Linked DNA regions of Caenorhabditis elegans. The protein of the gene in region 3 interacts with the protein of the main gene of each other region in a pairwise test. Each region holds a gene or a part of one and is shown on either strand. Other genes may lie near its edges.

Region 1 (4,683 bases), on a different chromosome or scaffold from region 3:
CAAACGATAACCCGACTGAAATTTTTGAAATTTCATAGGTTAAACAAATACAACTTATTAGGAAAAAACTTACTCATCCGATCCACTACTAGCCAGAACAGTTTCATAATGCGGGCTGAACGATACTTGAAATATTTCGTCGTTGTGATGTTTCAGCGTGTACATTTTTTTGCGCATATTCCTCATATCCCACAAAGCAACCGTTTTATCAACAGATCCGGTTGCTAAAATGTATTCGGAAAACGGATTGAAAGTAATACAATTAACTTCTGCAGTATGTCCGACGGCTGTGAGCTGTGGCTTTGATTGACGCAGATCCCATAGGTTTCTAAAGACGTGAAAATTATTTTGAAATCTCGACAGAATGGTATGATGTATTTATACTTACAGTTTTCTATCATCTCCAACAGATCCAAAAACGAAATTATGGAGCGCGTGAAAAGAAACATCCTCCGCATTTGATGAATGACCTTTAAACTTGCTTTGTGGCACTATTTGACCGGAAATGGTCTGATTCGCGTTTATATCCCAGTGGCAAATCTTAAAAAATGTATATTTATGTATATCTTTTGTTAGAAATACCATTCCGTCATCGCCGGCAGTTAGCAAATGTCCCTCTCTGGTGTTGCTCCACGACATTCCATATCCTTCGCCTTCATGGCCTTTCAATCGCAATTGAGGTCGAAATTTGGTGTCTTTTGGTTCAGATGGGTGCTTCGTGTAGTCGAAAATATAAACGTCATCAGAAGGACCTCGACTTGCAATAATGAAAGGATTATGTGGCATGTAACGTGCCCTATGAACTTCTCCTGGATGGTTGATTTTAATCTCAGTATCCCATTTTGCAGCGCTGCCCTCTCCATAACCTCCGAACTCTTCACGTTCCGAATCCCATTTAGCGTCGTCGAATTCTGGTGTGTCTGTCGTTATTGTGAACTTTGAGATCATGAGATGATTCTGAACTCCTCCACAAGTATGTGTTCCATGAATCATTCGATGCATCGATGAATCCGAGTTCTCTGTCTTAAAAAAATAATGAAGAAGGCGAAATCATATTTACCGATTCTTACTTTTGTGACATCAGGCATCCATTGCACTGATAAAGAAGGCCACTCGACCTCTTTTGTGACGACTGTATCGTAGAGATATGGAACATTTTTCTTCCAAATTCTATGTTCTTTACTCGTTTCTTCACACGATTCAGCTTCACTCATTGTGCTCTGAAATTGCCTGAAATAACAAAAGATACAACAAAAAACCAAAAATATCACAATCTGAGCTATCACAACAATCACGTTAACATAATATTTCAAAACAGTTATCTGACAATGGTCATCGAATTTATTTCAGGTTCAACAAAATATGATCATATCTCAAGGTAACATTTTAACTTTAAAAACTTAGTTGGTGAAGAATATGCGTTTGAATAAATGGTAAGATGAACAATTTGTTGAGATGCAAAATTAAAGAAGGATAGAAGTTAAATACAAATAATTTAAGCGCGTTTCACGTATTTTACTGTTGTCTCTCTACCACATCGGCTGGAGTTTCTTCGTCAACTTCGTTGTATATGTTATCAGCCATTTGCCACACTTGGAGAATATTGTCTTCTGACACACTGCACACAACCCAAGGCTCGTTCGGGTTCCACGAGAAATCGCTGATCTTGGCGGTGTGCCCACCGTGAATAAACAACAGCTCTGGTGGACCATCTTCCGCGTCTTCGGCAGATTGGTCTTCTCCAATCTTAGATAGGTCCCACACATGAAGACGTTTATCAGTACCGCTGGATGCAAGAATAGTCTCGTTGTGTGGACTCCACTGAACTTGGAAGATTTCATCACGATGTGATTCAAATGAGTGAAGTTTCATTCGTAGATTACGTAGATCCCAAAGAGCGACAGTTTTATCAGCTGATCCGGTGGCCAGAATGAATTCGGAATATGGATTGAATGCGAGACAGTTAACTTCGGCAGAATGAGCATCGATACAGTGTCCAGGAGTGCTTGTGCGCACATCCCAAATGAGCCTATAATTTTTAATTAGTTAATAAATAGAAAAAAAACAAAAGCTTACAATTTCTTATCGTCACCAACCGATCCGAAGACACCATCATGCAAAACGTGCCAAGCAACATCTTCAACGACTGACTCGTGACCTTTGAAAACATCCTTCGCTTGCAATTCCCCGGCAACATTCTGATTTGCGTTGATATCCCAATGACAAACTGTCTGATCATCTGACGCTGATAGAATCAAACCTTCTTTGTTTGGATTCCATGATAATCCATAGCCTTCCTTCGTGTGTCCTTTCAGTCTGATAAGCGGATTGAACGTGTTATCACGAGGAACAGCAGAGTGCTTTAAATAGTCGAAAATGTAAACATCAGCATGTGGAGACTTTGTAGCAATGATATTCGACTTTTGAGGCATGTAACGAGCTCTGTTAACCTCCCCTTCGTGGTTAATGCGAATATCGGGTTCCACTTTTCCGTTAACAGCTCCGAAACCACCGTATTCACTGCGCTCGGTATCGTAGCGAGATGCATCAAATTGGGCATCATCCGTTGGCATACAGATCTTAGAAATAAGCAAGTGATTCTGCTCATCTGAAGTATGAGTTCCAAGAATGAGCCGATGAATAGTATGGTCGCTGTTATCCTAAATTATTTGAATTCACTTCATGAAAGTTGTGAATTATATGAGAACACATACCTTCGCAACGTCTGGGAGCCATTGAACACTGAGTGAAGGCCACTCAAGCGCATGTGTCATTACGAGATCGTACAAGAACGGGGTGTTCTTTTTCCAAATTTTGTATTCATCATTTGCGACGCGATCTTCGGAGGTTCCATCTTCAAGAGTGGCCATTTCCTGAAATTTTCAATTTTTGCAAAGAATAATTATCGTTCAAACAGTGTAGTTAGATAAAATAATACAACAAAGAAGGGGTGAATAATAAAATATTAATTCAATTGAATTTAAATATATTAAAACAGAGAATTTTAATGCGGGAAAGTGACCAAAACTGTAGAAGACCGATAAAACCCACTTTCAAAGTGTGTGCGCGTCGCGGTTTTCGCGGGGAGGGGTCTCGCAACGATTTGCCTTCACCGCTGTTGCAAGGTACGGTAGAGCATGTTTGGCTCATTTGAATTCCGCTCAGAAAACTCATGCAGTTTTCTCCCTACTCGGGTATTATATATCATCAATTCTGGTTTAATTCTATCGATTTCTGTAGAATCATGATAGTTTGTGTTATTAAATAATTCCTACTCCGAAAGATCTTTCATCCTAATTTGCACAGGATTCTCGTGATTTTGAGCTTAAGATATGTTTTTTTCAGATGCAGGATGAAATCATCGATTTTTTCCGAAGTCCGGCTCTTCTTTTCTACATGACTTTAATGTTAACCATTTGTGTAGTAAGTTGTTGGTAATGATTTAGAAGATGAACTCTCCATATTTAGGTGAACGGGTCCCAGCAAGTTGGAGAAGTCGTAGAAACCGAGTTTCATGCGTACCGTCTTCATCAATACGAAATCAGTGGTAACATTTATGGATGCAAAAATTATCGCGTATCATATGAAGCTGTTTCCTTGGGTGCAAGAACTCTTCGCAGGTTTTTTTGGATATTTCATTTGTAAATAGTAATATTTTAATATCTAGAACTATGGTTACAACATGGCGAGATCTTCTTACAACAGATGTCGATGACATGTGGGCACTTTCTACCGGTGCCGTGCTTATTTTCATTCCCGACAATCTTGATGAACTTAACGATATTGATCGGAAGGTTAGCTTGAACATTTAATTTCATATTGCCATAAAAGTTATTTATGCTCATTATTCAGGCATTCATCGATCTTGAAGCAAAGTTGTTGAGCGCAAAGACCGACTTGGCTGTTTATGTGGCTCCTTTCAATGATGACGCCGTTTCTATTCTTCACGATGTCAATACTCGCTCGGAAAAAGCTCCCACAGCCCTGCAACATTTGCTTCAATCACTTTCCGGAAACACAATCAGTATCACTTCTTCCGATCAAAGTCCAGAACTTCCACCTTCATACAAACCACTGAATATTGTTGGTCGCTTGAGTAGTGGAGATCGTGCTGCACCTACGATTGCATTTGTGGCACACTATGACACACAATCGGCCGTTCCAGGAGTCTCGCCTGGCGCTGATTCCAATGGGTCTGGTATAGTTGCACTTCTCGAATTGCTTGCTGTTCTGTCAAAATTCTATGATTCTCCAAGCACACGTCCTCCATACAATATTTTGTTCATTTGGACAGCAGCTGGAAAGCTCAATTATCAAGGAACTCGTCACTGGATCGATGAGTACCAGAAAGGCTTTGACAGCGCTGATTATGCCAAATCTGGACTTTCTAGAAAAGGTAATGCAGTAAAAGGAGAGTGTCGTTTTACCGGTTTTGAAGGGTTTTCAGATGATCGTGTTGACTTGGCAATATGTATTGAGGCAATTGGTCGCAAAACGGGAGGATTTTTCATGCATGCTGGAAAGACACCATCAGAAAATTCAGTAGCAGCTCAACTTCTCAGAAGACTTAAGTACTGTTTTAAAAGTTTATTGATTTTAATCGTTCGTAAGATATTTCAGCAGCATTTCTCCAAAGAAGAATATAGAGTTGGTAACGAAAAAAATCTCTTTGACGACAGTAAG
Region 2 (4,105 bases), 3.7 Mb from region 3:
ACGCTGTTCTGACCGACATCGAGCTCCACAAATATCGGGGTACGTCCTTGGCGAACCGAATAGTTGCACAGAATACGGGAGACTGTGGTTTTTCCGACGTCCGTTGGTCCAACTGGAAAATTAATTATTTTTTGGGTTAAAAATCAGTAAAAAACCGGAAAACAAGGTTTTTTCTACATTTTTCGAAGCCAAACATAAAAATAAATTACTTAAATTCCGAAAAAAAATAAAATAAAAAGGTGGGCGGGCCGTGCGGCACGGTTGCAAAACAACCGTGCCAGGCTTGCAAATAGCCCCCGCCCCTTGAAAATATTGATTTTTCCAGTATTTCAAATGATTTTTACTCGATTTTCCTGCAGAAACCACAGAAATTTTCAGTTTTTCGACGAAAAATCTCCAAAAAAAGCCTAGAATCAGCTCACCCAACAGCAATCTCGGTCCTTTTGCCTTATTCGAGTTTCCAGCCGCCTGTTCCTCTCTCTTCTTCCGAACTTCTTCCATAGCTGCGTGAATATTCAGATAAATGACCATCGGAGTGCTCTCGGCAACGTATGCGCTCTCGGTTGTGCCGACGAGCTCAATTGTGGCGCCTTTCCACGTGAACGCCGCCACACGAGATTCTGAGGAAAAATTGGGTTTTAAATGGCAGAAAATGGGCCGAAATTGACTTTTATGGCCAAATCCATTGGTGTTTCTCAATTTTTTTCTGTGATATTTGATTTAAAACACTGTTTTCCAGACTTTTCCGCATAAAACAAATGATTACATCTGAAATTATCGATTTTTAGGCCAAGTTTCAAGATGAAGTTTCAGCGAATTTCTCTACTTTAACCGCAAAGAAACACGCTAAAACTTGGAAATTGACCTAAAAGTCGATAATTTCACAGAAATTTGTGCTTTTTCTGCGGAAACATTAGGAAAACAGTGTTTCAAGCGAAATATTACAGAAAAAAAACGGAGAAAGAGCAATAAATATAGCCAGAAAACGGGAGTTTTTGAAAAGTTGAAAAAAAATCCAGATTTCGAGGAAAACTTACTGGCTGGAAATGTATATTTCTTATTTAACAGCAGTTCTGTGCCAAAAATTTCAGCGTATCCCTTGACGAGCTCCAGACAGACATCCGAATCGTCTCCGGCGGCAAATCTCAGCTCACAGTCCTCTTTCAAAACGAACTCTTGAACATTCTCCTCGCTCATTTCTTTGGAATCTGAAAATGAGGCTTTATTGATTTTTTAATTTTCAGGAAAAAACGCGGAATTAGATAAAGCAAAGACATAGTTAATTTACAAAAAATTTGGGATGCGGAAAACTACAAAAGAAGAAAAAAACAATGGGTTTATTATTTTTGGAGGAGAGAAACCTCAAAACAGAACAAAAAACTAAGGAAAATAAACGAGCTGAAAGAAAATGTGCTACTTATTTAGATTACCTAAAAACGTCAACAGTAAAGTTATAAAAGACAGAAAAAACAAAACAATTGAAAAAATTTCAGAAAGCAATCTATTTGGAGATGAACTTCTTGATCTTGTCGAGAAGTCCAACGTATTGAGAGTGCTCGTAGTGAGTGGCATAGGCGACGAGAGTCTTGCAGAACCGAGCATCGAGACCGCGTTCTTCCAAATAACGAACGAACAGGAGATCGTGGAGGTCCTGGAATTAGAAAAAATCAATAATTTGCGGTCCTCTTGGGACTACTAACTGGATCGATATATTTTCCACTGCTAGCGTACACCTCGGATGGTACGTCCTCGTTTCCATTCTTGGCAGATGGGGCGACGTAGAACTCTTCGACGCGGAAATCATCTATAAATAGTATATATTTTATTCGAGTTTTCGATAAAATCGAGTATTACACTCATCAGGTTGATCGTCAACTGGCACAAGCTCGAGATGGAAGCAAAGTCTCTGATCTCCCTTGGTAATCTCGACGGTGAATGGTGGCATGGCTACTGGAACTGGAGCGACGGCCTGGGATGGCTCATCGTCGAATCCTTCGTCCATATCGACAGAGTGGTTCACATTGAAGACGACGAGAATGCTTTAAAAAAATTAACTTTAGAACTATGAAAAATTCTGAAAAAAACGAACTCTTCGCTTCCATTCTTCTTGGTCAGCCTAACTTCGGCGTCCTTATTGGTGACTTGGAAGCCAGCAAATGTCGGCGCAACGGCTCCTTGAAGATTGTCGCTGCTCAGCTGTTGCTCGGCTTCGATCTCACGGTTCAGGGCCTGTTGAAGTTCTGGCGTTACTGACAGAACCTTGGCCGATTGTGAGAAATGGCGTGGAGCGGCCATTCTGACGACCTGGGATGAACGGAGAGCCACTCGGGACAGGGAGCGAACAAGGGAAGCAGTGTTCATTTTACCTGAAAGAAGAAAAAAATAGAAAATTACATTTTCCAAAAATGATGCAAGTTTTTATCGAGCTAAAAATCAAGATTATCAGGTTATAAAGCGTTTCTAATTGATTTTAGGCTAATTTAGTTGTCAAAAATCAATAATTTCAATGAAAAACCTCGAAAAAATCAGTGGAAGCGTGCAGAACCGAAGAAAAAGCGAGAGAATATGCGAAAAGCCGACGAAAATAATTCAAATAGAGCCTTTCGTGGCAAGATATCTTCGCCGCAAAATGGCATGCGCCTTTAACTTGGCGCGCTTTGGAATTGTGTTCAAACGTTTTTCAGCCATATTTTCTCATTTTAAATCGATTTTTTCTTGTTTAAAATGATTTTAAAGTGCGTTTTCTTTGAAATTATTGACTATTGGGCTTAAAATTATATAATAAAACTGAAAATTGCCAGAAAAATCGATTTTTTGTTGTAAAAACATGGAATAGAGCTGCGCAGCTGGCGCGATGAGTCATGAGTCATTTGAAAAAGCAGCATTGCGAAATTTATGTTTAGAATTTTTTGAAGATTATTGATTAAACTAGGAGATTATCGATTTTAAGGAATATTTTTATACTTTTGAATTTTCGAATTTCGTGTTTCTGGCTAAAATCGTTGGTTTTTCTCGATTTTTCATTAATTTTCAGTTTTTCAGAAGTTTTTTCGTCTAGAAAACTTGTTTTCTGGCATTTTTCGGAATTTTTGAAGCTTCAGTGTATTTATTTCGAGGTCATAGCGTTTTTTAAACGGAAAAACTCTTTAAAATTCGAAAAATCATGTTTTAAATCAAATAATAATGAAAAATCTAGAAAAACCGATCTAGAAAACATTTATTTGCGCGGGAATTCAAAAATTATTCGGTTTTTTGTTGGAAAAATTAAAAAATCAAACAAAATTCAGGAAATCTTTATTAATTTTTCAGCAGTAATGTCCTGTATAGTGAGGATTTTTTCTGTCATTTAGGGCAAAAACTGGCGTACTTTCAAATTTAAAAAACCATTTTTTCGGTATTTCATAGTGTTTAGACCCCAAATTCCGTTCCCAAAACCTCCCAGAAATTAAATCGTATTCCGTATTCCGTCGGAATATCTTGTTTATCGGCAAGTCATCATATATACCTCCTCATTCCAATGTCCTTTCACACACATTCGAAAGGAACTGTCTCCGTATAAATACACAACGAATGGGAACTGTCTTCTCTCCGTCTCTTCACTCTCTTCACTGCTTCTCCCGTCGTTCCGAAGAATATCGATTGTTTTTCCGCTCTTTTCCGTTTATGTTATGTTTGCCAGTCATGTGAATCACTTCATAACGTTTTTTCTGCTTTCCGGAGAGAATTCTCCATTTTCTGCTACAGTTTTGAGGAAAAAAAAATTGCATTTCGTCGCATTTAATGTGAATTTTGGCCGGGGGAAAATATTAAACAATCTACATTTTTATACCGGGAATTGGGTGGGCGGCAAGTGCTGTTCGGCAAATCGCCAAATTGCCGGTTTGCCGATTTGCCGGAAATGTGTAGAGGCACTTTTTATAAGACGGAACCACTTAAAACTGCCTTTTTGGAATTTATATCCCGCTTTTTAAAGAAATTTTCATAGAAGTTGCTTATTTTTCAAAATAGACGTAGGAACATTCATAGGGTGCGTACAATTTTGCCGATTTAAATTGAAATTCTGAAATTTCCAAAAAAAGGTGCAAAACCACATTTTGCCGAAAAT
Region 3 (5,523 bases):
TAATAAATATACAGATGTACAATTAAAATCATAAAGTTAATAAACCCTCAATGTGAAGTTGCAAAATATTAGCAAGTCCGGTAGCTGAAAATTTTAGCTCGTGGCAAGACCCGAGAACGTAATGCCACATTTAAGACGAGCCTGATTGCAGAGCTAAATGAAGGGATAAAATCATTTTAAAAAAAAACTATGAACAATCAATGGTTAAAATTTTCGCGAAACATTGTTTTAAAAGTTTAGGTTCATGTTTTGACGAATTATATTTTGCTCATAAAGAAATAGCTGAAATTGTAGCTTAACATTTTCTCAATTCGTTTTACACATTTCCATCTCCATCTCCACATTGGAGCACCATTTCCCTTTCTGTGGTTGGTTTCCATAGTAACCGCCCACCGCCTCGTAACCTCTTTGGGGTCCTAGTGCTATTAAAAATGGAAAATCTATCACAAGAACCATTTAAGTTGGGTGAGAATCTCTAAAAACCACTTTTCACAACTTTTTTAAAAAATTATTACAGAAATAATCTCAAGTTTTCCACTTCAAATTGCAATATATTTCAACTTATGCATCTATCCTATGCATTTGATTAATCTATGCTTATCATTATACTTCAAGGTAAAAAAAAAAATTACAGTGGAACATACTTAGAGCATTATTTGAATTTCAGCATAGTCTGCTGTCATTAACGTATCAAGTAATTGCATTTTCTGCGTGTTTAGTTCATTTGGGAAGTGAAGGAGTACGGCTAGGACTTGGATTTTATGGAAATTTGGCAGAAAATGTAAGTTTTGAATGAGTCAAGTCAGAAAATCGACACTAGTGTTTACAGATGTCAGCTCTTTTTGGATTCTTAATAACTACAATTATTATTCAAATTCCTCTTACAGTATTCTTGGCAGTGAATGGCTCTTTTCTGAATCTCCCACTTGAATACGTTTTCTACACAATGATTGTGATTTTTAGTGGATTTCAAGTGAAAATTCAAAAATCTGAATATTCTCAAAATATTTCTATTTCAGACTGTATTCGCTATAGAAGCTTTGATGAAAACTGCCGAACGAGAAGTTGCAAAATATATTAACAAGATTCAACAAGAAAAAGTAGCTGACGAGCTCGAGAAAACTTCAGGAAAATCTCCAAAAAGTGGAAGAAAAACGTTGAAAAAACAATTGTCAAGATGATGTATTTGAATAAACCCATTATTTATATGAATTTTAAAGTGAGATTTTTGAAATAAGAGACATGTGATAGCAAGATCAGAAAGTAAGAGATAAATTGAAATTACATGTTAGAATATTTAAATAAGACCAAGTGCTTGCTCGACAGTTTTCGACTCTCCAGGCTGGTAGATTTTGTTGATTAATGCTATGCTTCTTGCATGGGGAGCAGTCCGACGACGTTGATGAGCACACCAACTGAAATTTTTTTTTTTGGATTCTCTGACTTTGAAGAAATAGTAGTGATCACAGATTGCTAGTACAATATTTTTTATTTTATAGTTTGATACAAAATTCGACAAATGAAATTCTAACATAGAGCACAGTTACCGTAATACTTTAAGAAATAAATTTTTACGGAAATTTTCAATGGCAGAAGAAGTGTTACCCTTTTTTGACTTGTTTCCAATGACGAATGTATTCATTTTTCAAATCTGTTTCATATCTTGGATCGACTGTAGCGTCGAATTCATCGATTCTAGATGGAACAATTGGCAGCTCAGGAATTGATTTATCTGGACGTGGCATTCGATGAATCTCGCGACATGCAAGATAATCCTGAAGGAAATAATTATAACATTTTTCATTTAATCTTTCCCACTCACAACAGCCAGATTCGGTGCATAGTCTGTCCTTTGAGCTTTTATTGGTTCATATTCATTATTCATGTGTCCTTTAACCCATGCTCTACCAAGTGAATATTCTTCTTCAAAACGTCCAGCTATCATTTCGAATGGTTTTCCACGCAATTCAAACATAATTTTAGAATCACGAGTCATAGTCTTGCGTGGTGATTCCATAAGTGAAGTTGAAGATTCGTGACGCGGCATCTTACGAGGGCGACCTGGTGGACGTCCTTGGCGCCCGGGCTCTTCATCAGCACGACTGAAATTATAAAAAATGCAATGGAAACTCTAATTTTTCAATTATGTCTAAAATTTATATTACGAAAAACAAAAAGGTCCACATTGTCTAAATTTTTTTCTGTTATGTATATTCCAGGACGCGACATTTGACAAAAATTAACTATTTATCTGGAACCAAAAAACTGAAAAAAAATGCTGTATTTACTGTAAACGTTTTCTGTGTACAAAATTTATTTTACTTTTCTTTCAAACTAAATGTGGCTCTGCATAGTTTTTAATTCTTTTTCTCAAATATTAAGGTTTAAAATTCAATCTCCAATTTTTTTTTGGCTTTTTTACATATTTTTGCTTTTTGATACAAAATCAAAACCAAAAAAAAAATGATTTTTCGCCCCAGGCATGGTATACTCTGCCGAAAATTAAACAAGAATTGAAATTTTCCATTTTATCACTTACGTATAATCTTCTGGGAGTACTCCAATTATTTCCGATGGGTGATGTTTTATGGTTGTCAGCAGATTTCCCAGACGTTTTCTGGCGAATTTCATATCCGGTGACTCCGGAACTGTCGGATCATAGGATAACAGGGATCTGGAAGCATCTTGAGTAGCACAATTGTTTCAAGTTTAGAAAGTATTACGTGAGTTTTCTGCTTGGCGATTCCAATGGAAGTGGACCTCCGCTTATCAATGGATCATTTTGACGAGCATTTCGATCTCCGTCTTCTGGAAGCAAGAACTCGGCAAGTGGATCTATTTCTGACATCTAGAATTGGAGAGGAATACATTATTTGGACAGTGAACAGCGAATACTTGCCAAAGTAATAAAGGTATTTAACCTTTAATAAAAAGAGATAAAAATTGTAGAGTAAATATAAGGACGACAATTTTTGAAGCAGTTATTAAATTAAACAATAAATATTTTTGGGTACTTGTATAAACATGAACAAGGAGAGAAGAAAATTTCGAATAAATATATAAATTCTGAAAGAATCTAAGATAGTATTGAAACTGACAAAAAGTGAATTATAGCAGAATATGTGTTGCTACTCGTTCTTTCTTGTGGACGCTGTCCGGTTTGCCGAATAGACAACGACGGTGAGAATTGCTGTTGCGATGGAGTAGGCAAAGCGGAATGCCAAGAGAGACCATCCGTAGAGAGAGAATGTGTGTTGAACGGTTCTGAAATAAAAAAAAATTTACATTTTTTGACTAGTAAAACCAATACTTACTGATAAACGAATGTTGAGAAGACACACATCGCAAGGATCGGTGACACCAAGAACTTGTTTGGAGTGCGGGTGATCATCCATGTAAGGCAGGCGAGAGACACAATAACCAATAGATCAGCTGAGGAATCAAGAGATGTCTGAAAATATAATATTATCTTTTTTTCAGAAAAAAGGAAGATTTGATCACCTGAACCCAACGCCATGTGAAAGCGGTTCCACGAGCTCCAACCCATAAAAGAACAAGACGATGAGCAACAGAATGAGCGAATCCCCAGCCAAGACCACCGACAACGAATCGAACTTCTCCTTTTCCGGCTAAGAAGTTGGTCATCAGAAGGTGAAGCCCAATGACATCGATGATGTCAGCACTGCTTTTTAGGAATTCCTGCAATGATTCTGAGATTGGCAATGAAAACCAAAATCAATAAGTTTGAAGTGTCCGAAGGATTATGTCCGGCGAGGATGGGTTTATGGTAAATTTCACTTAAAACTTGAATTAAAATGATTTTCATTGAAACGTTATTTATAGCTCCAATTTTGAATAGAAAAATTAATTACATACCGGCACAATACTGAATCCTTCACTGTCGAGGGCTGGGAAAAATGTGGCAATGATAAGCAGTTTGGCGAGTTGTGTCAGCAAATATCCACCACTAGCAGTTGCACATTTCCAGATGGAACTGTATTCGTTAATTCCTATAAAAATAGTGGTGTTTCATTGACTTCCCATAAAAAATATTACCTGAGTATTTGTAGACAATAAAATATGGTGCAAATGCCAACGCGAAGCAATTGATGAAATGGAAAAATGACATTTTGTAGATTTAGCTTACCTGAAAGATATTGAATTAATATTAAAACTATATACTTGATATCAAGGAACAAAGAAGGTAATTTTTAATTCTTAAGCAATTATGAATTACTGAATGTTAATATTTTAGGACTATAAATTTCGTTTGGACACACTAGAAACCTTCAAAAACACCAGCCGATGATTATGAAATTCATTTTGAGAATAATCATTGGATTTAAAATAACTAAAATTCAATAAAATCGATAAAATGGGCATTTGAATGATGATATTTGAAGGGCTCACGCTACCAGAAGTTGACGAAGAGCGACAAAAAAAGAGTAGTGCAACCGCGCTTTATTGAGAACCATTTACGCGCGAAGTTTGAATAGGACTTTCTATCATATGGCAGACTTTTCGAATTCGTATTAAAACAAATAATTTACAAATAAAAAGATCTTTATAATCATAATCATCAATCGTAATAGCAAGTGTGTTGTTCCATAGAAGAGCGGTACGCAAAAATTGTGAGCATCACCAGTGCCACGAGCAACCACCAGTTGGATTCCGAGCTGTAGAAAATGTGTTCCATTTTACGAAACATCAAAACATTGGAAACGGATGGAATAGCATAATGTTCCGGTGCTTGAGTAGAAGATGGCATAAAGATCAACGAGCTATTGGAGCCAGACCATGCTCCTGGAGATGCAGGTGATCCCGGTGGGATGTCCTTCATGGATTCTTGCTTGATAACATGGTGCACCGGGGACTTTGGCGGATGAACATCAGTTGGAGCCGGCAAAATGATCAAATTTGGATCTGGTCTTGATTCGGGTTGTGTGACAAGTGCCGGTTGATGATGGATGAGCTCGGGAATGTTAGACGGAGGCGATACGGGCGGTGGCTTCATGATTTGGAGACCTGGGGACCGGGGTGGAATGAATTCGGGTGGGTCCGGTGTAACTTCAAGGTCCTCCGGCTCCAGCTCAGACATTCCGATTTGGCCAGGCAGGTTTCGGAGCTGTAATTCATAATTTGAAAATAATTTTAATAGAAATTACATTCGATTTCATCGAATTATTTTTTTGCGAACTTAAATATTTTTAAAGCTAAATTGGGAGCGAAGTCTTGACACGTCCGCATACTTTTCATCTCGAGTACCCGCTAGTCTTCGTACTTTTTTGTGTTTTTAATTAGTTTTCTATTAAATTATTACACTAGAAATATCAATAAAAACGGAAATCCACCGTATATGCGGGTACGATAGCTGAAAAAATTTGTTCGTGCCAGGACCCGAGGCATTACAAATCGTAATAATGCTAACCATCTTCAAATCGATTGCCTTTGCCGGCGGTGGGCATGTTTGCTCATAGAGCTTACACCACAACGTCTGATTATCCGGAGACATAAAGGAGTTTG

What was found. Proteins that work in one complex are often made in the same cells at the same time.
Region 1: the proteins of lin-37 (region 3) and lin-53 interact in a two-hybrid assay, tested with the Caenorhabditis elegans proteins (4 studies listed by BioGRID).
Region 2: the proteins of lin-37 (region 3) and cri-3 interact in a two-hybrid assay, tested with the Caenorhabditis elegans proteins (3 studies listed by BioGRID).

The regions. Positions count from the first base shown.
Region 1 is NC_003279.8:9,616,888-9,621,570, forward strand, and holds lin-53 (putative histone-binding protein lin-53), read right to left. Parts: upstream 2,874-4,683; 5' UTR 2,871-2,873; coding exon 2,715-2,870; intron 2,661-2,714; coding exon 2,077-2,660; intron 2,030-2,076; coding exon 1,516-2,029; 3' UTR 1,324-1,515; downstream 1-1,323. Other genes in the region: putative histone-binding protein rba-1, read right to left, coding at 1-15, 74-328, 389-540, 583-1,023, 1,071-1,214; nra-2 (Nicalin), read left to right, coding at 3,346-3,423, 3,469-3,620, 3,668-3,794, 3,853-4,396, 4,439-4,571, 4,612-4,683. UniProt on the Caenorhabditis elegans protein: Core histone-binding subunit that may target chromatin assembly factors, chromatin remodeling factors and histone deacetylases to their histone substrates in a manner that is regulated by nucleosomal DNA.
Region 2 is NC_003281.10:3,394,846-3,398,950, reverse strand, and holds cri-3 (Conserved regulator of innate immunity protein 3), read right to left. Parts: upstream 2,367-4,105; 5' UTR 2,362-2,366; coding exon 2,090-2,361; intron 2,040-2,089; coding exon 1,855-2,039; intron 1,805-1,854; coding exon 1,701-1,804; intron 1,652-1,700; coding exon 1,502-1,651; 3' UTR 1,324-1,501; downstream 1-1,323. Other genes in the region: Protein clpf-1, read right to left, coding at 1-112, 423-620, 1,038-1,197.
Region 3 is NC_003281.10:7,069,705-7,075,227, forward strand, and holds lin-37 (uncharacterized protein), read right to left. Parts: upstream 2,849-5,523; coding exon 2,724-2,848; intron 2,675-2,723; coding exon 2,540-2,674; intron 2,103-2,539; coding exon 1,823-2,102; intron 1,776-1,822; coding exon 1,606-1,775; intron 1,416-1,605; coding exon 1,298-1,415; 3' UTR 1,186-1,297; downstream 1-1,185. Other genes in the region: tmem-17 (transmembrane 17 domain-containing protein), read left to right, coding at 577-615, 668-781, 830-952, 1,020-1,181; ZK418.5 (BOS complex subunit TMEM147), read right to left, coding at 3,129-3,264, 3,315-3,451, 3,502-3,699, 3,877-4,010, 4,057-4,129; ZK418.13 (Pollen-specific leucine-rich repeat extensin-like protein 1), read right to left, coding at 4,580-5,125, 5,429-5,523.